7 linked regions of the Callithrix jacchus genome follow. The protein of the gene in region 6 purifies or fractionates together with the protein of the main gene of each other region. This does not show direct contact. Links are inferred from orthologs where the notes say so. Each region holds a gene or a part of one and is shown on either strand. Other genes may lie near its edges. The genes, in order: VPS13C, OSBPL10, RASSF3, AKAP11, RMDN3, VAPA and ZFPL1.

The links.
Region 1: the proteins of VAPA (region 6) and VPS13C purify together in Homo sapiens (co-immunoprecipitation; 3 studies listed by BioGRID and IntAct, counting the BioPlex papers as one, with this or other methods). This does not show direct contact. The link is inferred for Callithrix jacchus from reciprocal best matches to the Homo sapiens genes VAPA and VPS13C.
Region 2: the proteins of VAPA (region 6) and OSBPL10 purify together in Homo sapiens (co-immunoprecipitation; 4 studies listed by BioGRID and IntAct, counting the BioPlex papers as one, with this or other methods). This does not show direct contact. The link is inferred for Callithrix jacchus from reciprocal best matches to the Homo sapiens genes VAPA and OSBPL10.
Region 3: the proteins of VAPA (region 6) and RASSF3 purify together in Homo sapiens (co-immunoprecipitation; 3 studies listed by BioGRID and IntAct, with this or other methods). This does not show direct contact. The link is inferred for Callithrix jacchus from reciprocal best matches to the Homo sapiens genes VAPA and RASSF3.
Region 4: the proteins of VAPA (region 6) and AKAP11 purify together in Homo sapiens (co-immunoprecipitation; 3 studies listed by BioGRID and IntAct, counting the BioPlex papers as one, with this or other methods). This does not show direct contact. The link is inferred for Callithrix jacchus from reciprocal best matches to the Homo sapiens genes VAPA and AKAP11.
Region 5: the proteins of VAPA (region 6) and RMDN3 purify together in Homo sapiens (co-immunoprecipitation; 4 studies listed by BioGRID and IntAct, counting the BioPlex papers as one, with this or other methods). This does not show direct contact. The link is inferred for Callithrix jacchus from reciprocal best matches to the Homo sapiens genes VAPA and RMDN3.
Region 7: the proteins of VAPA (region 6) and ZFPL1 purify together in Homo sapiens (co-immunoprecipitation; 3 studies listed by BioGRID and IntAct, counting the BioPlex papers as one, with this or other methods). This does not show direct contact. The link is inferred for Callithrix jacchus from reciprocal best matches to the Homo sapiens genes VAPA and ZFPL1.

What each region holds. Positions count from the first base shown.
Region 1 is NC_133509.1:8,779,673-8,783,172, reverse strand, and holds part of VPS13C (intermembrane lipid transfer protein VPS13C), read left to right. Parts: intron 1-731; coding exon 732-853; intron 854-1,379; coding exon 1,380-1,674; intron 1,675-2,923; coding exon 2,924-3,313; intron 3,314-3,500. UniProt on the Homo sapiens protein: Mediates the transfer of lipids between membranes at organelle contact sites. Necessary for proper mitochondrial function and maintenance of mitochondrial transmembrane potential.
Region 2 is NC_133518.1:70,218,676-70,222,778, reverse strand, and holds the start of OSBPL10 (oxysterol-binding protein-related protein 10), read left to right. Parts: upstream 1-1,303; 5' UTR 1,304-1,429; coding exon 1,430-1,710; intron 1,711-4,103. UniProt on the Homo sapiens protein: Probable lipid transporter involved in lipid countertransport between the endoplasmic reticulum and the plasma membrane.
Region 3 is NC_133510.1:54,612,960-54,616,459, forward strand, and holds part of RASSF3 (ras association domain-containing protein 3), read right to left. Parts: intron 1,939-3,500; coding exon 1,831-1,938; intron 1-1,830.
Region 4 is NC_133506.1:161,427,939-161,431,438, reverse strand, and holds part of AKAP11 (A-kinase anchor protein 11), read right to left. Parts: intron 2,417-3,500; coding exon 2,276-2,416; 3' UTR 1-2,275. UniProt on the Homo sapiens protein: Binds to type II regulatory subunits of protein kinase A and anchors/targets them.
Region 5 is NC_133509.1:45,816,680-45,820,751, reverse strand, and holds the start of RMDN3 (regulator of microtubule dynamics protein 3), read right to left. Parts: upstream 2,801-4,072; 5' UTR 2,745-2,800; intron 2,330-2,744; 5' UTR 2,323-2,329; coding exon 2,136-2,322; intron 1-2,135.
Region 6 is NC_133514.1:52,968,922-52,971,515, forward strand, and holds the end of VAPA (vesicle-associated membrane protein-associated protein A), read right to left. Parts: intron 1,272-2,594; coding exon 1,113-1,271; 3' UTR 501-1,112; downstream 1-500. UniProt on the Homo sapiens protein: Endoplasmic reticulum (ER)-anchored protein that mediates the formation of contact sites between the ER and endosomes via interaction with FFAT motif-containing proteins such as STARD3 or WDR44.
Region 7 is NC_133511.1:122,149,535-122,153,574, forward strand, and holds the start of ZFPL1 (zinc finger protein-like 1), read left to right. Parts: upstream 1-1,240; 5' UTR 1,241-1,397; intron 1,398-1,700; 5' UTR 1,701-1,708; coding exon 1,709-1,810; intron 1,811-2,124; coding exon 2,125-2,236; intron 2,237-4,040. UniProt on the Homo sapiens protein: Required for cis-Golgi integrity and efficient ER to Golgi transport. Involved in the maintenance of the integrity of the cis-Golgi, possibly via its interaction with GOLGA2/GM130.

The sequences.
Region 1 (3,500 bases), on a different chromosome or scaffold from region 6:
TTGTAATTGTAGTTAGGCAACATTCCATTCTCTTTGTATGCCACTTGGATTATATTTTTCAAGTATGTATGAAGGGATATTGGAATGATCTCCTCCTCTAAAAACATTTTAGCATCTTAATCTCTGTAAATATTTCTACTTTTAAGGCTTTTCCAACATTTTTCTTTTTCTCTGTGTGACTACAGGTTTCAGTATGTGGTCAGCAAAAGAACTTTTTTTTTTTATCTCTAACATCAGATAAATAAAAATACAAAGGTTTCAAATTTTGGTCATTGTTATGTCTTAGTTTGTTATTTGCTCCGGTGCATAACAGACTTTAGTCAAGGAAAGAGAGTTGCACTATTTTTCTTTCTCTCTCTCTCTTTTTTTTTTTTTTGCTATTCATTTCTGTTTAGTTATTATACATGATACATTGAGAAAAGATTGTCACAGAGAAAAAATGGCTTAAATCTTCAAAGAATAATACATATTTGAAAGATAATATAGACTAATAGTAAACATAAGCTGATAATACATGGAGCATTTGAATACCTAAATTTTCAACTGCCACTAAACATTAAGTGTAATATATATAACACCTAAATATTCTGAAATTTTTCAGTTGGCAGTAAAAATATTTTCTAGTATTGAGTTTGAAGTTTTTTAGATCTAAAAGTAATTGTGTATGGCTCTCATTTTTCTTTTGAACTTGTGTATCTTTTAAAAAATTTGTATGTCTTTTTGTCCAACAGATCAAAAACCATTTCTCCATTCCATTTATCATCTATAAATTTGTTAAGAATGTTAAGCTATTGGAGCGTATTGGGATAGCCAGACCTGAAGAGGAGTTCCATGTTCCTTTAGATTCATATAGGTAGATACTTCTTTAAATGTACTGAGCATTAAAAATTCATAATACATATTTTTAATTGTGTGAATTGGGGATTTATATTCTGGAAAATAACTTCATATTTTTATTATGTAAAGATTGGTAAAAGCCAATTTTAAGACATAATTTATTCTTACATTACGAAATACATTTACATTATATTATCATTGAATTTATCAGATGAAAATTCCTTATAATATATTTGATGTCAGAATTTTTCTGAGTATTTTTATTAGATTGCCTTTGTATTTGAAATGAAAAAATGTTTTTAAGTTGTCTTTGTTTACAGAGTTTTTTTTTTCCCCCTCCCTAGAAAGTTCCTTCACAAGTTGGGTATGTGATTTTGGGTGAAATTTGTAACCTTTTTTTCAGCCCTGGTTTCCTCATCTGTACATCTGTAAAAACAGGAATAATAGCACCGATCTTCTAGAGTTGTCAGGAAGATTTAATAAGATTCTTTGTCTTAAGTTCTGGATCAAAACTTTATTCTCACAGTTTCCTCTTTCTGCAGATGTCACTTGTTTATCCAGCCAGCTGGAGTCTTAGAGCATCAGTACAAGGAATCCACCACTTACATTTCCTGGAAGGAAGAACTTCATAGGAGCAGGGAAGTCAGATGCATGTTGCAGTGTCCATCAGTAGAAGTCAGCTTCTTACCTCTCATCGTGAATACAGTGGCTCTGCCTGATGAATTAAGCTACATATGTACACATGGGGAAGACTGGGATTTAGCTTACCTTATTCATCTTTATCCTTCTCTCACTTTGCGAAATCTTCTCCCATATTCTCTAAGATACTTACTTGAGGTACGTCTTTTGCATTTAGTTTGATTTTTATTGCGGCACAGAGTAAATTTTGATTGTTTTATGGTATTTTTAATTGAGGTCACTGCTTTATATAGCATATATGTAATTTGTAATGCCTTCATAATATTAATGATAGCAAAAACTGGCATAACATTTACTGTGTGCCAGGAACTGCTCTGTGTACTTTGCATGTATCAGCCTATTTACTCTTTATAAGAATCCTGATGTAGGTACTTATTAGGCTCACTTTATGTATCAGGAAGCTGAGTTGAAAACAGGTTAAGTGACCGGCTCAAGGGCCCATAGCTGGGCAGTGGTAGAGATGCGATTTGAACCTAGGCAGTTTGGCTTTTTGATCCCTGCTCTTTGTGGCGTCTTCCTTCAGTTAAGAGCCATGATCATCTCTTTGTTAATTTAGTAAAATTCCATTAACCAAAAGATAGGAAAAAATGAGAAAATATTTCCTCTTACATTTTTTATTTTAAAATAAATATTATAATTATTTCTTCAAGGTCCTATTGAAACTAAACCTTGGAAAATAAAAATAATTTACTGTCTGTCTAAAGAAGTAATAAGGATTTTCTAGTAATGGAGTATGATAAATATTTTAAAATTTTTGTATGCCAGTATATTTTAAAATACTAAAATCTGGAAAGTATTTGGAACCTATTTTTTTTAATGTGGTAATGAGCCATTCCTGAGTTGTGGAGACAAAAATTAATTAAATGACTTAAATAGTATTTACATAAGAGGAGTTTTCAGTAAGGAAACCTGGTTTCTATGTTGTTATTCATTTTTCAAATAATTCCACCTTAGATTACTCGTCAGAATAGTTTGATACCACTTTTCTTATTCCATTCATGTGGCAACCGTTAGGCATGATGCATGGATAGAGGATAAAACCGAAGGCCAGGCACTGAAGTGGCTCATTTAAAGCCATAGCTCTAATGGACAACAGCCAAGCTTCCTGAATCCAGTCTTTGACTCTTGTTATAGACCTGATTTTTTCACAAAATCATGGCGATTAGCCTCCTAATGGCCAAAGTCACTTTCTGCCTGTGGCTATGGTACAGTGTTTGCTTTTTATTCCTTAGCGAGTACTGGACATTTGTAATATATAAGCAAGGTACTGCACAGAAGACTTGGCAGTTAACTTGCAACTGGTAGGTTATTTAGCATTTATGAAAAATATGGATTTTATTTCAAAGGTTTTTAAAAAATCACTAATAAAGTTTCTGTTTGGTTTCAGGGAACAGCAGAAACTCATGAGCTGGCAGAAGGCAGTACTGCTGATGTCCTGCATTCGAGAATCAGTGGTGAAATAATGGAATTAGTCCTGGTGAAATACCAGGGCAAAAACTGGAATGGACATTTCCGAATACGTGATACACTTCCAGAATTCTTTCCTGTGTGTTTTTCTTCTGACTCCACAGAAGTGACGACGGTCGATCTGTCAGTACATGTCCGGCGCAGTGGCAGCCGGATGGTCCTGTCTGTCTTTAGTCCCTATTGGCTCATCAACAAGACCTCCCGGGTTCTCCAGTATCGTTCAGAAGATATTCATGTGAAACATCCAGCTGATTTCAGGGATATTATTTTATTCTCTTTCAAGAAGAAGAACATTTTTACTAAAAATAAGGTGTGGTTTTATTCACATAGTAAGTTAAAACAGATAAATTTCTGATCTAGAAACTTGGGAATTATTTGCCTTCCCTAAAACCATGCTTACCTGTTTGCCAAATGCCATTGGTGTGAATTAGGCTCAAGGAGACTTAAGCATAATCAAATGGTATGTTAGCAGCTAACTGGTTTCCTGAGCCTGAATC
Region 2 (4,103 bases), on a different chromosome or scaffold from region 6:
AGCTCCAGAAGCTTCTCCGTGAAAATCTCTAGAGCTAAACCACCCGTGAAATATTCCTGGAAGGATGTGAAGCTAGAAAGGGGTCAAGCTCGGGGGAACTGCCCCCTTGGGAGCTGACTCTTTCATTCAGGAATTTTTTTAACTGTTTAAGTATTTACCTGCTTCATGGGTTCACAGATCCTTTGGACTGGGATCACCTATCATCCACCACCTTTTGTTTTGTCTGTGTGTGAGAGAGTCTGAGCTCCTCAAAGCTTTTTCTAGGTAATTTTTGATATTTCAGATTGCAATGGATATCTATATTAACAAAAATTATTAGTGGGGCGGAAAGAGCATCTTTAGGTGGGAAGAGGGGCACAGAAGTTACAGCCAACACAGAGAATCCTTCAATGTTTGTAAATATCTGTTAATTTCCCTTGCCTCCCCCACAGTTTTCCTGGTTTCAGAGCTTCTGCTCCCAGGTACATGTGCGGCGTGCTAACAATGGGTAGATTTTTGACTTGCCAGGTTTATGCGTGTCATTCAGGGCAGGGGATTAGGCTTAGGCCAGTGAGTTACCTAGGGCACTCAATTTAAGGAGGCACTCGCAAAAACCTGAGAGTTCGCGCGCCTCACCCCAGCCCAGCCCAGCCCAGCCCAGCGCAGCCCAGCTCAGTGTCCGTTAAGCATTTATCATAACCCTGCTGCATGAAAATGCCCGGCGAGCTTACCTGTGAGGATCACCTGCCACTCCCTTCCTCCGCCAGACGCGCGGAGGGCCTCCCTGTCCTGTGACTTTGCGTCGCCAGTGATAATTTCCAGATTACTGTGTAGGAGCGTCTGGCCCACGATCGTGTGCGGAAGACCGAGAGAGGGAGTGTGCGTGTGAGCCAGTCAGGCCGGGCGGGTCCATATCCGGGGGTGGGTGGGGCCGCCCCTCCCCTCCCTCCAGGTCCCGAGGTGGATAGGGGGTGGGGAGTGACGCGCTGAGATTCCCTTTCGCCCCTTCGGATCCTAGAGAGCGTGGCAGAAGGAATGCGAGGGTGACTTGGCGTGGATTTAGGGCGTGCCCACCTAGCAGATCGGCCTCCTAGAGTGTCCCCAGGGCCTGAGACGCCGCGGGGACAAGGAGGAAGAGGAGGAGGAACCCGAAGAGGGCTCGCCTAGCCGGGCACCGGCCCCGAACTTGCCCGGGAAAGTAGTGCGGAGGGAGGGGCCGGCCCTGGCCGCGGCGGGAGGAGGGGCGGTCGCAGCTGCATCCAGCCCCGTTGGCTTCCTTCCCAGCTCTCCTTCGCCTCCTCCTCCTCTTCCTCCTGTATGAGTCAGGCATTTCCCGGGGATTTGGAGCAGCCACGCGCGGCCCGGGCGCTCGGAGCTGTATCAGCAGCCGCCGCCGCCTTGCCGGGGCCGCCACCGCGGCGGGCACCCGCGTCCCGGGCGCGCACGGATCATGGAGAGGGCGGCCCAGGGCGCAGACGGCGGCGGGGGCAGCAACAGCAGCAGCCGCAGCAGCAGCCGTGCCACCTCGGCGGGCTCCTCGCCCTCCTGCTCTCTGGCGGGCCGGGGGGTCTCCAGCCGGTCGTCGGCAGCCGGGCTTGGTAGCGGGGGCAGCCGCAGCAGCCCGGGCTCGGTGGCCGCTAGCCCGTCCGGGGGAGGCGGCCGCAGGAGGGAGCCGGCGCTCGAGGGCGTGCTCAGCAAATACACCAACCTCCTCCAGGGCTGGCAGAACAGGTAACGCGCCAGCCGCCCGCGCCCCTCCTCGCGCGCCGCTGTGTGTGTGTGTGTGTGTTTGTGTGTGTGTGTGCGTGCGCGCGCGCGCGATTGTGCCTTCAGCGAAACTAGTAATGCCTCTGCACGGTGCCCTTCCTGCGTCCCTGCTCCCCTCCAGGTGGGGTGCCCAGGATGGGGCGCGCCATGGCCCCACCCCGGGACGGAACCGCAGTGGCGGGGAGGGAGGCGAGAGCCCTGGTTTTCTTCTGTGCTGGCACCTGCAGAGACTGGAGTGGCAGGAGGAGCGTGCTGGTCCCGGTGCTCTGGTTGCCCGCGGTCTCCCGCACCTCTGAAGAATGACAGGGAAAGGGAGGCAGAAGGGGCGTGCTTTGTGCCTGGGTGAAAAAGCATTAGCACGCCTGCTCCGATTACGGCAAATTTCTGCGTAACACAGTTCATTTTAAAGTTTGGTGCTTCCGAACACCTCCACTAGCAACAAAAAAACTGCCACTTGTCATTCTGGGAGACCTTACATACCCCTGCCCCAGTTTGTGCCTTGCACCCTCCGATCTCTGTAATGGGAGTTTTGTTTAAATAAAGAAAGAGGCCGGGCGCGGTGGCTCACGCCTGTAATCCCAGCGCTTTGGGAGGCCGAGGCGGGTGGATCACGAGGTCAGGGGTTCGAGACCAGCCCTGCCAAAATAGTGAAACCCTGTCTCTACTAAGAATACAAAAAATTAGCGGGGTGTGGTGGCGGGTGCCTGTAATCTCAGCTACTCCGGAGGCTGAGGAAGAAGAGTCGCTTGAACCCGGAGGTGGAGGTTGCAGCAGCCCAGGCGACAGCGTGAGACTCCAACACCAAAAAAAAAAACCAACCCTCCTCCCTTTTAATATTAATAGCAATTTACATTATTTTCATTATTTCCTCTTCAGGTCCCTTTTGAAGTTTCCTGCTCACTTCCCCCTCACAGTTGAGAAGCCTAGTTATACACACGTGGAAGGATGGGGCTGGTGAGGAAAGGGCTCAGGAGACTTGGAATGGTGGTAGCGTGTGTGAGATCTGCCATCATGAGGAAGAGAGGGACAGATGTGGCACTGCTGTTTACTGTTTGTTTGTTTTTTTTTCAGATTGTTTGTCAAAAGCAAGCCAGAGGGAAATACAAATGTCCCATGAGAGGAGAACAATGCTTTTTGGAGAGGTGGTTGGTGGGATATTTTGTTCTGCCTATTTAATGGTCCCCAGATTTTAATAGACTTGGGGCTTTTAAGGATGTTCGTGAGATTTGAATCATACCCTGGAAAGTTGCTTATCTCTGCTGCATGGACTATCTTACTTGGTTATTTCTTCCAGTAGATTGTTGGGAAATGTTCAGATTTGCTTCCATCTGAAACATATCAGGCAGTTATTTACATGAAACTGAACTTGAAGGAAGAGGACTTCTGAAGTACCGAAACAGTTGTTTCTGTATTGATATTCTACATACAGGACTTTCTGAGTCACCTGGGCTTCATGGGAGATGTGTTACTATGTTTGTGGAAGTTGCACTTAACTTTTGAATCCTTTTATTTCTCAAAATGGTCCTAGTGCCCGCTGTTGCCTCTCCCTTTCCCCTTTCAATTCGTGAAAGATGAAAAAGAATAGGTAGAGTGCGTAGGTAGAGGGAGAAGGAGATGACTAAATCTGATTTCAGTTCTTGCTAATTGTGTCTTATTAAGGGCAACTCAAGGGGTCTTGTCAGTGACAGTGTTTTGTTGGTGTGTTGAGCAATCACGTTTAATAGTCTTTTTTTCAAGTAGCTTATGAGGCCAACAGAGCTTTTATCCTGGATTTCAGTTATTTTATTATTTACTTGCTGGGGAACAATTATTTTACCTGCAATGTATATTAAAGGATTTGTTCTTTGGAGTGAACTTAGGAGGCAGTGGAGTACCTTTCTTTTGCATTATTTTAGACCCGTTTTGGTGTTTAGATTGGAGGCAAGGTTGAGAAGAAGCACGCTTAATGACAATAATAGCTACGTGATTGCAGGCTACCTGGGTGAAATGTGGTATTATGTGCACTTCTGAGCATGCTTAAGTGATGTCTCATCTTTATTGAGTTTGTTTACTGCGATTTATAGCTGTCTGCCAATGTTTGTTCTTACCACAGTGTACTCACCGTTTTCCAAGTCTACCACTGACTCCGTAAGCATTGTCTATAATTGTTAACATCTCAGTGTCAGGGTTTCTATTTCCCACATTGGGTTCTCTGAACGATGGCTGAGGGTCCATTAGTGGTTTGGAGAAGATTTATGATGACTCTGTGATTGCAAAATTCTCCCTTCTCGAGGGGTCTTATCAAGGGAGAGTTGGATTACTGAAAAGGAAGAGAGAAGAGGGTAAAAATAGAAACTTTGAAAACGCCTTCGTTTGTT
Region 3 (3,500 bases), on a different chromosome or scaffold from region 6:
AGACTCAGTCTCAAATACAAACAAACCAAAACAGCATATTTAGAAAGAAAAGATTTATTATAGTGTTTTATTAAAACGAATTGTCAAGTGTTATATATAAATAGCAGTTAAAGTAGAACATTTAAAATCACTTTTATGGTGGGTTATTTTTCTTCCTTCCCACAAGATCAATTTGCAATAACAATTCTCTTGTTCATTCTTTTTTTTTTTCTTTTTCTTTTTTTGAGACAGGGTCTCACTCTGTCGCCCAGGCTGGAGTGCAGTGGCATGAAATAGCTCACTGCAGCCTCAACTTCCTGAGTTCAAGTGATCCTCTTGCCTCAGCCTCGAGTAGCTGGGGCTACAGGTGCCCGCCACCACGTCTGGTTAATTTTTGTATTTTTAGTACAGACAGGGTTTCGCCACGTTGACCAGGCTGGTCCCATCCTGGTCTCCCAAAGTGCTGGGATTACAGGTGTGAACCACCATGCCCGACCTAAAATTTTTATCTTTAAAATGATATGAATATTTGTATCTGTTTTAATCTTGATGGGGAAAGGAAAAAAAAAACATAGGAAGTGAAATTCTCCTTTGATGAAAAAAAGAAATCTTGCTGCTGGAATGATGAAGAGTTATCTTGGGATTCTCTGCCCCTCTCCCTTCTTTTTGGAGCAGTTCCACCAGGGAGGGGGTCCTTTACAAAAAGTATTTCTATCTGAAAGCTCCTCCCCAAGAATAACCGGATTCAGTAGGGCCTGTTTTAAACTGGTCACCCTGTCCTTTACCAAACTCTGTCAGTTCACAGTGAACAGACTGAGAGAGAGAGGTCCAAGTGCCCTGGAAACTGGCACCAAGGACTGACAAGCACCATGAAGAAAGCCAACCACCCAATGGGTGGGTGAGACCTAGATGCCAGCTCAGTTTAGAGGAACAGGAATACTCTAGCTTTGCTGTCAGCTCCTGTTTCCCTGTCACCAGGCCCTGAGCCTTCTCCCTCCTGTACGCCCACTCTCTGTGTGCTTCAAACAGTGTGGTGCAATGCTGTGGAAGCCTGGGACAACGACATGGAGGAAACTGAGTATTAAGTACTTCGTCTTACACTAACAACTGGCAGAGAAAAATATCCTACTATATACCTGTATATTCCATTCTATGGGCTCAAAATCCTTTCCCTGACATTTCCATATTTATTTTGTACAAGACAAAAACTTCAGAGCTTCTGACACCTGTAATCCCAGCACTTTGGGAGGCCAATGAGGGTGGATCACTTGAGCCAAGGAATTTGAGATGAGCCTGGGCAACATGGCAAAACTCCGTCTCTACAAAATATATAAAAATTAGCTGGGCATTGTGGCAAGTGCCTGTGGTCACAGCTACTTTGGAGGCTAAGGTGGGAGGATCACTTGAGACTGGAGTTTGAGGCTGCAGTGAGCCATGATTGTGCCACTGTACTCCAGCCCAGGTGACAAAGCAAAATCTTGTTTCAAAAAAAAAAAACTTATCTGAGGTCTTGTTAGAATCTGAGTCTCTATTTCTGTATGTCAGGCAATGCTGCTAAAAATCCTTTGGGGAGGGAGGGGTGGGTCACAAAATCTTTTAAAATAAAATTTTAAGTGTTTCACTTTTTTAATGGTAACCCAGCAACTGATTTTTTAGACAAAGTTACTTCAAAGTACAGATTTAAATTGTACTTTGGAAAGCCATGGAAATATTCCATTTTCCTGTTCTGTATACTTGACTATTACACTTCTACAAATGTTATTCAGATATTTAGAAATATAGATTGTAATACCAACAACTTACATTTGTCTTGTGACAGGTGTCAACCTAAACAGTATTATGGGTACTTACCAAGGTCATCTTCAACTTGTCTGTGACTGCTAAGTTGTATTTATGAACTTTCTCTTTGATCTCCTCTTTGCTGAGGTAACTGTGGGTTTCCTTCTCTTTCTCGACATCCTAGAAGAAAAACAAGCCAAGTCACATGTAAGCTATCACAGAAAAAAATGCGGACAGGCCAGGCGAGGTGGCTCATGCCTGTAATACCAGCACTTTGGGAGGCTGAGGCAGGCAGATCACCTGAGACTGAAAGTTCGAGAACAGCCTGACCAACATGGAGAAACCCCGTCTCCACTAAAAACACAAAATTAGCCAGGCAGGTGACGCATGCCTGTAATCCCAGCTACTCGGGAGGCTGAGGCAGGAGAATAGCTTGAACCCGGGGGGCAGAGGCTGCAGTGAGCTGAGATCATGCCATTGCACTCCAGCCTGGGCAACAAGAGTGAAACTCCGTCTCAAAAAAGGGGGTGGGGGGGAATCAGGAGTCTTTTTAAATTCCACACAAGGGCCAGACATGATGGCACATGCCTGCAATCCCAGCACTTTGAGAGGCCAAGCAGGGCAAAGTTTTAGCCCTGGATACTGAGACCAGGCTGGGCAACATGTTGAAACTCTATCTTTACAAAAACACAAAAATTATCTGGGCATGGTGGTGTGCACCTGTAGTCCCAGCTACTCGGGAGCCTGAGGTGGGAGGATTACCTCAGCCCAGAGGTGGAGGCTGTAGTGAGCCATAATTGTGCTGTGCTGTAGTCTGGATGACATAGTATGACCCTGTCTCCAAAAATTAAATAAATAAATAAAAATAAATTACATCCCACACAAGAACGACCTTGTTGTTCTTGCATGTCACCTTGAGGCACACACACACTCTCTCCCTCTCCCCCTCACTGCTTCCCTTTCTCTCTTTCAAACTCTCCAGGCTCATCCACCAATTACAGTTCTCATTCTTTCAGACTACAGTCTCCCTTGGGGATATATTGGAAAAAAAAAAAAAACTAATTTGTCAGCAGCTAGAAGTAACACTTCATTACCAATATTATTCTGCAAAACTGTCATTGCTAAATTTCTCTTCTGCAAAAACATCACTCTAGCGTGCCTGCTAGAGTGGCCATTTCTGTTTTAAACAACATTTAAAGACATATACCACAAGTTTCTCTGTAGCAAACTGTATTAACTCTGTTGTCTTAATAGCTTTACAATATTTATCGGCAAAAAGTACAGCAGTTAATATTAACTGGCACTACTCATGGACTCACACTAATCCCTGACCTGTCAAACTGTACACATCTACCAGAGGGTAGTTCATCTTCCAAACAAATCCCCAGGCCAAGATACAAGTACTCAGACTTCTCCTTCCCACCCCTGCCGCGACCTCCCCACCCTTCCAGTCTCATGCACCTCTCTACCTCCCCATACTCTAGAGGGAGAAATATGACTCAAATCCTCTTCTCGCTGTGAAGAATTTATCAATAATTATCTGTCTAAAGAGTCCCACCAGCATATGACATTATACAGCAGCAGACGTGATCGCAAATGACCACACTGCAGCGTTCTGTCACCCTGATGGAGTACCTAACTTGTACCACATTTACTTCTCCCAACAACCTAATCAAGGAGGCATTATTACGCCAGTTTCAGTAAATTAAACTGCTGGAAAAAAATGTAACTGTTCAGTGAAA
Region 4 (3,500 bases), on a different chromosome or scaffold from region 6:
ACTCTAAACTCAAAGTTCTTTTCTCTATATGAGGAAGTATGACGCTTTTCACATCTGCCAATATTTTATATTTTTAACTCGCACTTCTTTTCACAGCCACCGATATTTAATGTTTTTCTCTACGCCCCTGCACAGAACTGATGTAAATGTGAAGTTCCGCTATTATTACCACACATGCTAATACCCAATACCTGGTCCGTCATTAAGTAATGGTTAAATATGGAAATGCTGAAGCCAGCACAGCTCCAGCAAAATGCAAAGGGAATCAGAAAAGCCTCATCCCAGAATTATTACACCATAAACAGAAATAGACATAAACATTTTCAAACACAGAAAGTTTTACAAAATAATATATCATCACTTTAGTTTAAAAGAAATTCAGAACTCTGTTTTGCTGTTGATGCACTCAAGTTACTAAACACAATTTGATAGTTAGGTACTTGTAAAAATGCATTCTAAACATAATAATCAATTCATAATTACCAAGAGCAAACATTCCTCGTCCTAACCTTTAAAAACCCGGTCCAGTGCTGCCACATCTCAAGTTCTTAAAAGCTAAAGGCAGAAACAATTCTGGTTATACAATTCTGGCATTTCTCCACCTTAAAAAATACTTGAAGAAACTTTAGGAAACTTGATATTTAAGGCTTGCTCTATTTCTGCATCTTAAATTGAGAAAAATCAAAACCTACAATGTAACCTCAAACTATTTAAATAGCTTTTGGCCTTTTTCCTAAAAAGCACATTTGAATCTTTTATAAAACGTATTTCTATACCACAATTTCTAATTCACATTAATGTAAGTGCCCTTATTCCTTATTCCCTGGCGGGCGCGATGTCTTCTACGTTTTATGCAGCTTTCAGAACAGTCAGTGCTCAGAAAAAATGAAAATGTAACGCAGTAAAATCAAAGCCCCCACAAAAAGTGATTTATCCTAGATTACAAAATCCAGCTCTGGAAAACCAACATTTACACACACCCACACGTACACAGGACATGGGGGGAGGTGAATGAGAATGGGGGGGAGGTGAGACACAGTCGGGGGAGGAGGAAGAGGGCAGAGGGAGGCAGAAAGAAAAGGGGCAGGGAAGAGAGAATGGGTGGGGAGAGTGAGGAGAAGGGGAGAGAGAGACAAAAGCAAGACACAATCTTGGTCCTCTATTCATGTCATCTTGCAGTGTCTGGAGACAAACTAGTAGGAACTGTAGAGCCCAGAAAGGTCATGTCAGAGAGCCTGACAAGATACTGTAGACACATTTTATCAGGGGGCAAAAATCCCGATTTTTCTAGAAAAAAGCCACACTATCGGTAGACAGTTTTTAAAAAAAAAATCCAACAATAAAAACTATTGGGCTTCTGTAAATGCGTTTCCATATTAACATTAATTTTTAAAATTCCAACATGTTTTACAATTTACATTTTCACCAAGACTGTTCAAAAACAGGAATAAACATTCTTACTGCACAATCCTTCTAGACATTGTATTTTAAAGCACCTTTTTAAATTTTAACAGTGGGTTTCTAAAAAGAAAATAGTAAAATAAAAGAGGGAACAAACTAGCAAGGTTCAAGTACTCCACACACACACGCACGCACGCACGCAACCCAACACAAAATCACTTTCATGCCAGAATGACTGGCAGCGTTGGCAAATATGAAAGGATGGGGAAACTATCACTTACAGTGTTTATAGAAACCTAAAACACTAATGTTTCTACTAAGAAATTAAATAGGGGAAATAAAGCCACCAACAGCTGAACTATGAAAATGAAACTGATTTTTAAAAGCAGGAAAGAAAGACCAAAAATCTACTAGAAATTTAAAAAAAATTAGCCTCAATCTTATTTTCTGATGTCAGACTAGTTATTAATTAGATACCATTTGTCTGCAAAGGAGCAAACTTAGAACTCCATGGCTGGAACCTATCCTCAGCACTTCAGTGCAGCTTCTAGCAGCACTTGGATACAAAAAGAATGTGGTCAGACAACGCCCCTGAACACCCCAGGGTTAGACCTCCCTTCAATTACATGTTCTTAGGGTTCTGACACACTACACATGTATATAGGAGAATGAAGATAGTTATTTTGACAGAGATTACAAAAGTATGAACTATATACACCAGGTGATAACACAAAGCGCTTAGAAAGCTCTATTTACTTTCCTCCCAATTGACTTACACTGTTAATACTCACTACTCAAATTTTATCCTAATCATCTGCACTGGCTTGTTCTCCTCCCCAAACAAATACTAAAATATGCTGGTCTGGGGTCTGTTCTATGCATTTTCCAGGACCCAGTCAAACAGTGACTTGCATCTCTCCTCACTGGAAGCGTTTTCCATCACTTCGTAGTACTGAAGCACAGCCTGCAGGAGGTCTCCCACTTTCCATCCTTTCTCTTGTAACCGTTTTGAAAGCTGAGAAAGAAAGATGTGTCAAACATGAACCAAAAACCATTTTATAACAAAGCTTTTCTTTTTATTTTCAATATTAGCTGAAACTAAGAATCCTGCTGTTTCCGATTAAATACTGTTTCCTAGTTATAACAAGGTCTTCTCCTCTAAACTGCCACCCCTTTACCCAAACTAAACATTTTCCCTTCTTCGCCTTTATAAATACATCTCTCCCAGAGAATGACACTTTGGGATCGCTGGAGACAGAGCTCCACAAACCTCACCCAGCGGATAGCCTGTGCGGGTGTGCAGAGGCTGTTTCTACAGGAAATTCTTCACCTAACTAAATACAACTGCCACACCCTCAATTAGAACATAAAATAACAAAGGCAACAGCAAGCTTAATAAAGGGATGTGGATTTTCCTTCCACAACATACACAACATAGAGTGTGGTATTTTTCTGGAACAGACACTCTAGCCTCAACGCAAACACGGCTTTCTAAGTTAGGGAATGCTCATGTTTCAACAACAACAACAAAAATAAACAAAGAAATACAGGTTTAAATAACTCTTGTTGTTACCACTCATGACATGCTTTTGCTCATTTCTTTTTCTACTAAGTTCTATAAAAGTTCTTAGGTTCTGAAAGATCTCTAAGTTAAATTCTGAAAAACTACTTTAATTTTGTGTAACATACATATGCTTAACTTTTTTACAAAACAGCTTTGAGATAAAATCCACCCAATATATAATTCACCCAAAGCGTCTCAGTCAATGGCTTTTAGTATGTTCTCCAAGTTGAATGCAACCATTACCACAATCAACTGGAATATTTCCACCACACCAAAAGGAAAGCTGTGATAAAGAAAATTGTGTGACAAAAACCTTAAGACTGCATACTGAAAATCTTGACTAATAAGGTGCTTGGCACATAGTAAGCATCTTGTTTAAACTTTTATCAGCTTTTGATTATGACAGCTTCTCATGCGAATGAAACTGGATTATCAAAGAAAGAGACATATTAATTACTTTGGTGCAATTATGAATCAATTAAATACAGAGAATAGTTCATTTTTTTTCCCATAGGAACACACACAATGCTTATTA
Region 5 (4,072 bases), on a different chromosome or scaffold from region 6:
ACAGCAAAACTAAAATGGAGCTCCCTCAAATTCTGATCTCTCACTTCACAAAGAATAGCAGGGAAAACCTGGAGCTTCTCCCAGAACTTAGTAACTGCCCCCCACTAAGAGAAAGGGGCCAGTTGCTAAAAGAAAAGGTATACCAGAAAAAGCCCATTCAAACCATCTCATAAAGACACCATTACTAAGCCCCATGGACCCAACCCTAAATCTCACTCTGAGTAAATTCCAGCAGTGAAATGCTACCAAAGTGAGAGCCACCTATGGTAACTGGACTGGAAAACACAAAAACAAGAAAGAAACCAGAGAGGCAGGATCCACATACATCAAGCAAAATCCCTTCTTAAAGGAAATCTGGTAAACTAGGCCAGGCCACAACACACAGCCAATAATGTTCAAGAATGCAGAGCAAGAAAGAATCCTGTGAATGTGGCCACTCTCTTCTCATCTCGGAAGACTATAGCTGGGCAATTGCAAACAAACGACAAGGAAACGGAAGGAAGCACACTTGCAATACTAGATTATCACCAGGTTAGAAAATGCTGCTAATCAATTGCAATCTAAGGTGATAGCTCGTTGAGACTCTTCCAAACTACCTTTTCCAAACAAGCTAACATTGGTAATCAGAGAAAACACTCATTTCCAATTAGCATGGGGGTGAGATAATCTAAACACTCCCCCGGCCAGGCCCGGTGGCCCACACTTGTAATCCCAGCACTTTGGGAGGCCAAGGCCAGTGCATCACTTCAGGTCAGGAGTTTGAGACCAGCCTCGCCAATATGGCGAAATCCATCTTTACTAAAAATACAAAAATCAGCTGGGCATGGTGATGCATGCCTGTGATCCCAGCTACTTGGGAGGCTGAGGCAGGAGAATCGCTTGAACCTGGGAGGTGGAGGTTGTAGTGAGCCAAGATCATGCCACTGCACTCCAGCCTGGGCAACAGAGCGAGAGACTGTCTCAAAAAACAGAAAAAGAAAAAAGAAACACTCCTCTCAAACAAAGACGGTAGTAGTGTGAACCAGCCCTAGATACTTTGCTCAAACAAGGAAAGTTCTGCAAATCTGAAAGAACTACTCATTTCAGCTCTGCAGGCTGCCAGCCACACTCAGCTTCAACTTCATGACGCGTGCTCCTAGCCCTATGCCGTACAAAGTCCACTGGACCAGGTGACCAAGCCCAACCTTTCCACTTAATCTGTGACCGCCTCAGGAAAGTTACACAATCTTTTTGAATCTCGGTTTCCTCATAGGACAGATAAAAAAAAAAAAAACTTGAATGAGATAGTTTCCAAGTTGCCTTCAAATTCTAATATACGATTTAATACATAAGCCTCAAGACTTTTAATTCCTACAAGACTCTTTTTGCCCTCTTTTGGACTCTTCCTCTACTTACTACACACCTCACACAACACTAATCAAGTGCCTTTAATATCCGCATAGCACTATTGTGGCCAGAACTAAAAGTGAAAGCTAAGCAGACTTTTTGAAATATATTTTCTTGGTAATAGAGGGGAAAAAGTACAGAAAACGACGACTGCCTTTTCTTTTTTGAGACTGAGTCCCACTCTATCGCCCAGGCCGGAGTGCAGTGGTGCAATCTGCAGGCTCAATTATCACCAGGTTAGAAAATGCTGACAATCAACTGCAATCTAAGGTGATTGCTCGTTGAGACTTCCAAACTACCGTTTCCAAACAAGAGTCCCACTCTATCGCCCAGGCCGGAGTGCAGTGGTGCAATCTGCTCATCGCAACCTCCGCCTACCGGGTTCGAGCAATTCTCGTGCCTAAGCCTCGCCAGTAGCTAGGATGACAGGCCATGCCACCACGCCCGCTCATTTTCGTATTTTTAGTAAAGACAGGATTTCACCATGTTGAAATCTGGTTGAATGTTAGCCAGGCTGGTCTCGAACTCCTGACCTCAGGTGATCCGCCCGCCTCGACCTCCCAAAGTGATGGGATTACAGCGGTGAGCCACCGCGCCCAGCCTGACGACTGATTTTTCAACAAGCTTCCAGAACAGTGAAACCCTAAGGCACCTCCCTCCGTTGCCCAGTCCCACGGCCTCCACCAAAAGCAGCCCGGACCCCAGGCCCATTAGTCTGCAGTGACTGCGGTCTCGGGATGGGCTCCTACCCTGGCGTCCGGGCTCTAAAGTGTGCGTATAGTCCAGGGAGTTGGGCAGGCTCTGGTTGCGGCCACGGCGCCGGGTCCGTTTCCATCGCTTGCTGTAAAGGACGCACAGGAATCCAAGGCCGGCGGCGGTACCCAGCAACAGTCCCAGCCCGGCACGGACACCGCCCAGGGCCCCCAGTCTAGACATGCTGTACCTGCGGCCCGCAGAAGCCACCGGGAGCAGGCAGGCAGGCAGGCGCCCAGGTGGGCGGGCAGGGGTAGGAAGAGAGAGATTCGTGAGCCTGGCAAAGCCTCCCCCAGGCCGAACCCCAGCAGACATCCCCTTGCCCAAACCCTGAGCTCCCGACTCCCTGCACCCCAGTGTGAACCCTAAAGCTTCCTCCAGCCCCCAGGGCCCCACTGCCGCTCCCCTCACCCAACCTGGACGTAACAGCCGCTTCAGCATACCCCTCGACCCGGCTCAGAGTCCGGCTCCTGGGCCTTCGACCCCCACCTCGGCCTCACGACACTGCAGACCACAAACCCGCCGCCCTAGCTGCAAACTCCTGGTATTCCCCCGCAGCCCCCGAAGGAGCTCTGGCCTGGCAAGAGATCAATTCAGACCCTTACCCGGCAGCCAGCAACCATGGCAGCAGCCGCCGCGGACTCACGCTATCCGTGACTGTGACGTCAGGCAGACGGCGCCAGCATCTAGACGCGCCGCGGGAAGGCGCAGGGAGATGACAATAACGACCCCGCCTCCTTTCCCCTAGGGGCGGGGCGATGAGTGACGCCAGAGGGGCGGAGTCAGCACAGAGCGCGAAAGGGAAGAGGAAAGGGGCAGAAGGCTTGGGAAAAGCGGGAAAGCAGGAGACTTCTTGGTTGGACGCTCACGCAGTCACCATCGGTGTCCGGCAGCCAGAGCTGCAGTTCCCTCCGGTCACACCGGCTTACTTGCTGCTCCCGGAATACGCTCAGCATATTCACACTTTCTACCTGTGCTTCTGCCTGGACCTCCCCTTCTGGAAAACGTCACCCTCTCCCCACATTTTATTTTTATTTTGTAGAGACTGGGTCCTGGTATCCCGGTCTCAAGCGATCCGCCCGCCTTGGCCTCTCAAAGTGCTTGAGCCACCGCACCCGGCCATAAATCTTAAACATAACGTGCCATCTAATAATTCCATTTTACTCTTGTATGCGACTTCTTAGAATGTTGGCAACTAAAAACGCCGATTTTATGAACTGTGATAACAATTTTATTGTGAACATTTCTTCAGTTTAGTGAAAGAAGAAATATCTAGGCCAGTCCTCCCAATACACTTGACTAGATCTTATGTTTATTTACCCTTTAATTGTGAGACACTGTATACATACAAGAATGCAGGAGGCCTGCGGTTGTGGCATGTGATTAGTCCCAGATACTCTAGGGGCTGGGGTGGGAGGATCACTTGAGCCCAGGGGGTAGAGGCTGCAGTGAACCATGAACACCCTCGGCTCTGGGCAACAGAGTGAGACCCCTGTCTCTCTCTCATTTATTTATTTATTTTTTTTGGGACGGAGTCTTGCTTTGTCACCCGGGCTGGAGTGCAGTGTGGCGCAATCTCAGCTCACTGCAACCTCCGCCGGGTCCCGGGTTCAAACGATTCTCCTGCCTTAGCCTCCAAAGTAGCTGGGACTACAGGCGCCCGCCATTATGTCCAGCTAATTTTTTAAATTTATTTTTATTTTTAGTAGAGATGAGGTTTCACCATGTTGGCCAGGCTGGTCTCGAACTCCTGACCTCGTGATTCGCCCATCTCGGCCTCCCAAAGTGCCAGGATTACAGGCGTTAGCCACTGCACCTGGTGAGACCCTGTCTCTTAATTAATTAAAAAAAAATACATTTAAAGTATACATACATTGTTAAGAAGCACTGTAAAATACTGAGGTACCCACGTCACAGTTTAAGGAATAAAACT
Region 6 (2,594 bases):
AAGAAAATTCCATAGGCTTGCTCAGTATTACCAAACTTCCATAATGAACCTTACTTTGAGTGCCAAACTGGGTGGGAAAAAACACCTTTTAATTATTATTATGAAATGTTACAAATAAGACTTATTAGACTGGTTAAAACGTATTTTAAAACCAAGGAGAGTTAAATCTTGAGAACATACTCTCAGAACTTGTTATGAATGGGGCAAATCAGATGGAGCACAGCCATGCTGAACACATCAACTCACTGAAATCACGTAACTTCTATTCTCATGGACCTTATTTTCTATTATCTTGAAAACAAATTAACTGTAATCTCCCAAAATACTAGTAGTACCTTGAAATTTAATCAACTCCTTTCCTTAACAGAATTAGGGCTTTCAATTAAAAATACTGTAATATCTGAGAGGGTTTCAATGCAAGAGAAACCTTTGCATCATAATTTCAAGTGACCGTATATAGTGGACTCCCCTCTAATAACACGACAGACACAAACAAGCTATGAAGCAAGAATCTGTTAACAGTTTTATTATTTTTTTATGTTAAATACCATGGGACAGGATTGTAAGGATGAAAAACTCAGTCAACAACTGCCTCACAAGGGATAAGAAAAATTCTGCCATGATATTAGCAAAGGTAAAGGAGGAAAAAATTTACACTGTAAGAGGCACCATTTCCCCACGGAATACCTCTTGGCATTTCCTGAATGAGTGGGATTAGCAATCTAAATAAATCATATTTCAAGAGGTAACAGCAACAGATAAAATTTAAAGGGATTATTAAAATAACATTTACAAGACTCTGAACAATTCTTGAACTCTTATTAAAACCACAAAGAAAGAACAATTCTTTATTTATGAATTTCATAAAGGACTGAATGTGCAACTGACATCTGCTAGTGATGATCTGGTAATATACAATTTGTCCAGTAGCCGAACAGTTTGTTTTTATTGTGTTTTCTAACCGTAAGAGATCATTAAAGGCAAAGCCTATATGACGCTGTACACACAAAAAAATGGTCACCGCGGGCCATACTACCAATGAAATGGTAGGTAAACAAATCTTTTTCTGGTCAAGAGAAAAAAAAAAGAAATAGCACTCTGCATGCTTCACTCTACAAGATGAATTTCCCTAGAAAGAATCCAATGAAAATGGCTGCAATTACAACAAGAAGTGATGGAAGAGGACTGGTGACATTATCTCTGAAGGATGCAGTTGAGGTTGATCCAGGTTTATCCGAATGTGCTACCTTTCTGAGCCTTAAACCTTCATCCTAGAAAAAAACACACATACACAAGAGGTTTTTAAAAACAAGCGTACTAACAAGACTACTGAAGCTAAAAATCTACAGGGATGGAAAGTAGATTAGTGGTTGCCCATGGCGGGGGACGGAAACAGGAATTAACTGCTAACCACAAAAGGAAAGTTTCTGGGACTGATGGACACATTCTAAAACTGAACTATAGTGATGGCTGCAAAATTCTATACATCAGTGAATTGTATATTCACAATGGGTGTCTCTATGGGATGTAAATTATACCTCAATAACACTTGATGTTTTTAAACTGGAGCTGAGAAATGTATTCCTAAAATACAAAAGTCAGATATAGTTATATTTACATTTTTTTTAATCCCACTAAAAACACAATTAAAGAAGAGTTCTGTACACTTACTTCCAAGGTGGCCCACGGTATTTAAAATCAGTTGCATCTGTCCCAGCCCAGTGAAAACTACCAAACCTGTAGTTTGCCAGTTGTGTTTACTGGCCTACTGCAACTGAGGAACCGGAACAGCAGAAGCACAAAACAGAGATACGGGGATCCCAGAATTTGGGGGAAGAAAACAGCTTAGTATGAAATTTAAGTAACAGTGTTTTCATATGCTCAAAGCAAAGCAAACGGCTGTGTGTAAAGCAGTAGCACCAGGTCTGGATTGCAAAGCAGGCAAAGAATACTATTTCTTCAGAAACCATAAATTTAGATGAGAAATGTATATAGGAGCCCCCTTATCTGAAGCTCTGCACCTGGACTGGAAACTGAGGGTGCTTCTCTGTGTCAAAATGACCTAGAGCCTCCAGGTAAGAATGGGTTGCTTCTTTCTTACTGCTATGGCTTCACATAGCACCGTCTTTAGAGGACAAGGTTTCTGAGAAGAAAGCAGAAGTCACTTAAGGCAGGAAGTTGTTATGACACTGTGTGCAGTATGAAACTTGGGGAAAATACTAATACCTGTTAACTATGCAGCTGGCTTTATCTGTGTCTCTTATCCAATCTGATGAATGGCAGGACTGATTTTTACTTTTTTCAGTGCAAGGCAAAATGTTCTCCCAGGATTCCTTCATTGTGCTTATAAATAAACACTAACTAAAAGAGTTTTATTTGCATTACTGAATTTTCTGGAGTTGGGTTTTTTGGGTCCTGTGTAAAAACAGCAGTAACTCTCAGTTTCAGCTACCCTTCAGTAACATCTGCAGAACTTTTAATACTCCTGTGATTCTGATTCACTAGGTCTGAGGAGGGCCTGGTAAACTGAATTTTTTTAAAGCTCACTGGGTGATTCACATGCAGTATGAATTACAAACCACAGGGTTTTTCAT
Region 7 (4,040 bases), on a different chromosome or scaffold from region 6:
CCCTGCACCTGGCCCAGATTTTCTATAAATGAAACATCCTTTGATAATAACTTCTGCTAAAGCTGTAAAAATATCATACACATGACTTACCTTAGACCACCCATAAATGAAAACTGACGACAAAATGGATTAGAAAGATAGTACTTGCAGTTAAGACACAGCTCAGCTTTTAAAAGAAGTTCTGGAAAAATGGTAGAAGTACACAAGGCATAAAAAGTTAGGTGTATTAAGTCTTCAGGGAGTAATGAAGACTGGCAATGCATGCAGGTGCCCAAAGGCAAACTTACTGCAGTATTGCAAAACAGCTCCCTGGGCAGATGTGAGCAGCCAATGTGTACTGTCCAGCTCTAGAGTGGCCCTGATTTTACGTAACTAAGTAGATTAAAGTGAACTCACCCTAGGGCTCCTGCGAGGCGAGTGAACAGCTGGGACCTGCGGGTGACAATACCAATTGATCACATAGCTGGTTTTGCCCACCTACCAACCCACAACATCCTATCTTAGCTTTTACCTCTACAGCATGGGCCACGATCTTCTTCAAGACGATGGGCTTTCTGATTGCTGCCGCACTGGGTGTCTGGAGAAGAAGGATGAAGATGAGCTCTACATTAGGTGACGGGCGACAAGGGGAGGAAGTGAGAAACCTGCGGCTCACCTTCGGCCAGATTTCAGGGGGGATGCTTGGGAGATCAGAACCTGATTTCCGTTGGGACCTCCGCACAGACTTAACAGGAGATGGGGCCCTTGGCCCTGGAAAGAGAGAAAAGTTACGAGAGGACTCTAGGTCTTAGAGTCCAGAGAACAGAGTCTAGAGAAAGCGAGATTCCCAAACAAGCTCTTTTAAGGGCGCCTCGTCCGGCGGCGGTAGCAGCCGGAGGGAAGGGCCATCTTTCACAAGACCGCGTCCCCCAAACTGCTCGACCTCATGTCTCCCGCGCGCCCTCCGCTCACCGGAGCGCTGAGCGGCCCCTCCGGACCGCGTTCGCCTCCCAGGCATAACTAGGCTCCGTATCGAGCTCCTCCAGAGCCGCCACCCCGGGCGCGCGCCAACCGGGAAGGCCACTCGCTGCAAGAAACTTTCGAATTACCCGCCCTGCGGGGAAGGAAGCGGAAGTGACGTAAGCGAGAGGTCCGCAGCGCCTGGATCATGCCCCAGTCTTTTCCACCCGTCTTCACGTCTAGCGTCATAGAGGCGTGGCCCAGTGGTGCGATGGCGTCATCAGCGCGCGCCGCACCCGGAAGAGACGTGGCAGCGGAGGGGTAATCGAGACGGCCGAGGCTGAAGGGAGCGGAGCAGGAGCCTCGGGGAGCGTGGTCCCTGCCCTACCGCTCCTCGAATCATCGCTAGCGCCCTTCGGAACTGGTGCAGAGGCCGATCAGTAAACACAGAGACTGGGGTCTGTAGAGAAGGGGCGGGGCTTGGAGGGGGTGGGGCTCAGGAGGGGCCTTGGGGGCGGGGCCGGTGGTATTGGGGAGTCGCTGATGGAGGGACCTGGCCGGGGGCGGAAACCAGAAGGATTGAGGGGTCGCCGGAGGCGGGACTTATGCTGGGAATGTTTTCCCGCCTAAGGAAGGGCAGTGAGCAGGAATCTGGGGTCGGGGCGAATATGAGAGGTGTTGGGGAGTTAAGTGGAAACTGGGCTGGTAAGAGCGTAGTGGCGGCCACCAGAACCTGGCTTCCTACCAACTCCCTTTCCCAGGATCGATCATGGGGCTTTGTAAGTGCCCCAAGAGAAAGGTGACCAACCTATTCTGCTTCGAACATCGGGTCAACGTCTGCGAACACTGCCTGGTAGCCAATCACGCCAAGGTGGGGCCTTCAGGGGGAGCGGTTGAGCAGGGCACTGGGTGGGCAGGCGGTATTGGCTTCCTCCAAATCCATGAGGGGCCCCGCGCTAGAATGTAAGCCCCACGAGGGCAAGGACTTGGTTTATTTTGTTCTCTGATATATCCCCTGGCCCCAAGAGAGAGTCTGGCACACAGTATGTGCTCAATAAATGTTTATTGATTGAACAAATGAAAGGATGAGTCTCCTCTGTGACTAGAGAAAAAGAGGCTGTTGGACCTTGGGGTGATAGGCCGAGCAGCACCAGCACCAGTTGTGACATCTCTCTCCCACTCCAGTGCATCGTCCAGTCCTACCTGCAGTGGCTCCAGGATAGCGACTACAACCCCAATTGCCGCCTGTGCAACATGCCCCTGGCCAGCCGGGAGACGACCCGCCTTGTCTGCTATGGTGAGGCCCTGGCATCTTGGGGGGATCAGGCCAGCCTCAGGGGCCAGCTTGGTGACTGGTTTCCAGGCCCGTCTCAAGCAGCAGGACAGTGATTCCCCCAAGTCTCAGAGCCCAGATTCTAGTTCTGTTAAAGTTCCTTACCTGCTCTGTAAGTTCAGGCAAGTTGTTCTTCCTTTCTAGGCCTCACTGTCTTTCCTAAAAAGTAAAGCTCCAGGCCGGGCGCGGTGGCTCATGCCTGTAATCCCAACACTTTGGGAGGCCGAGGTGGGTGGATCCCGAGGTCAAGATATCGAGACCATCCTGGTCAACACGGTGAAACCCCGTCTCTACTAAAAATACAAAAAGTAGCTGGGCACGGTGGCGCGTGCCTGTAATCCCAGCTACTCAGGAGGCTGAGGCAGGAGAATTGCCTGAACCCAGGAGGCGGAGGTTGTGGTGAGCCAAGATTGCCATTGCACTCCAGCCTGGGTATCAAGAGCAAAACTCTGTCTCAAAAAAAAAAAAAAAAATAGTAAAGCTCCTAGTTCCTCTTTCCTAAAAATTAAAACACTGCCAATCTGGAGGGTTGAGCGAGAGCCAGTCAAGCTTGTGGGTATGGTGGTGGCTGTGACTATTAGCTAGCCAGACCAGCATGTAGCTCTCAAGGTTTCGGATATTTAGGATCCAACACTGATTCCAGGGCTAAACAGAGAGGAAGTGAGTTTCCCACATTAAAGTTAGCTAAAAGAAGTCAGCAGACATATGTGTCATGACTTTGACCTGAATCTGGAGTAAGAGCCTTAGCTCCAGTTTTTGTTTTCATTTTTTGGGTTTTTTCTGAGACAGTTTCACTCTTGATGTCCAGGCTGGAGTGCAGTGGCATCATCTGGGCTCACCACAACCTCTGCCTCCCAGGTTCAAGCGATTCTCTTTCCTCGGCCTCCTGAGTAGCTGGGATTATAGGCATACGTCACCAAGCCCAGCTAATATTGTGTTTTTAGTAGAGACAGGGTTTCTCCTTGTTGGTCAGGTTGGTCTCGAATTCCCAACCTCAGGTGATCCACCCGCCTCAGCCTCCCAAAGTGCTGGGATTATAGTCAGGAGCCACTGCGCCTGACAGCTCATTTTTGAAGGAGCACATGCAAGAGACAGCTCTTTATGTGTTTCTCCTTGTGTGTTGCAAGTGTGTGCTTGCAGGCATTTAGTGAACATGGTGTGTTCAAATGAGTGTTAGTGTGTTGATTAGTACTTGGGGGTGAGTGAATGGGTAAATGTACATATGTGAACATATGAATACAGGTATGTTGTGGGAGTGCAAGAGAATGCATGGTTGAGGGTGCCTGAGTGTGAGCAAACCTGTGAGTATATAGATGTGTATGTGTGAGGGCTATGGTGCCCATAGTCTAGATAACAGGGAATGCCACTTATGTTTGAGTATGTGCTTATAAGCACATGTACATTTGTGCACATGGATATGAACGTATATATATGTTCCTGTGTGTATATCGAGGAACTTTTTGGAAACTGTTCATTATTAGCCATTAGCCCAAAGAGTATGATGAGTGCAGGCCCAGAGAGGACTCACTTCAACGGGAGGTGACATTTTCTTGCCACCCAACCTCACCCCTGTGAACTGGACAGATTGGTAGCAGCTGCCTGAACTTAGATGGTGGTAGCCAAGAAGACTGACGTTTTAGGGAACACTGATGAAACGGACCTTTAGGGGAGGGGGGGGAAGGGGGAGGAGAAGACTCTGGTATACATATATGTGTTCATATGTCCCTACAGTGGTCTGGGGGCTGATGCTAGGCTAGGAGCCCTAAGT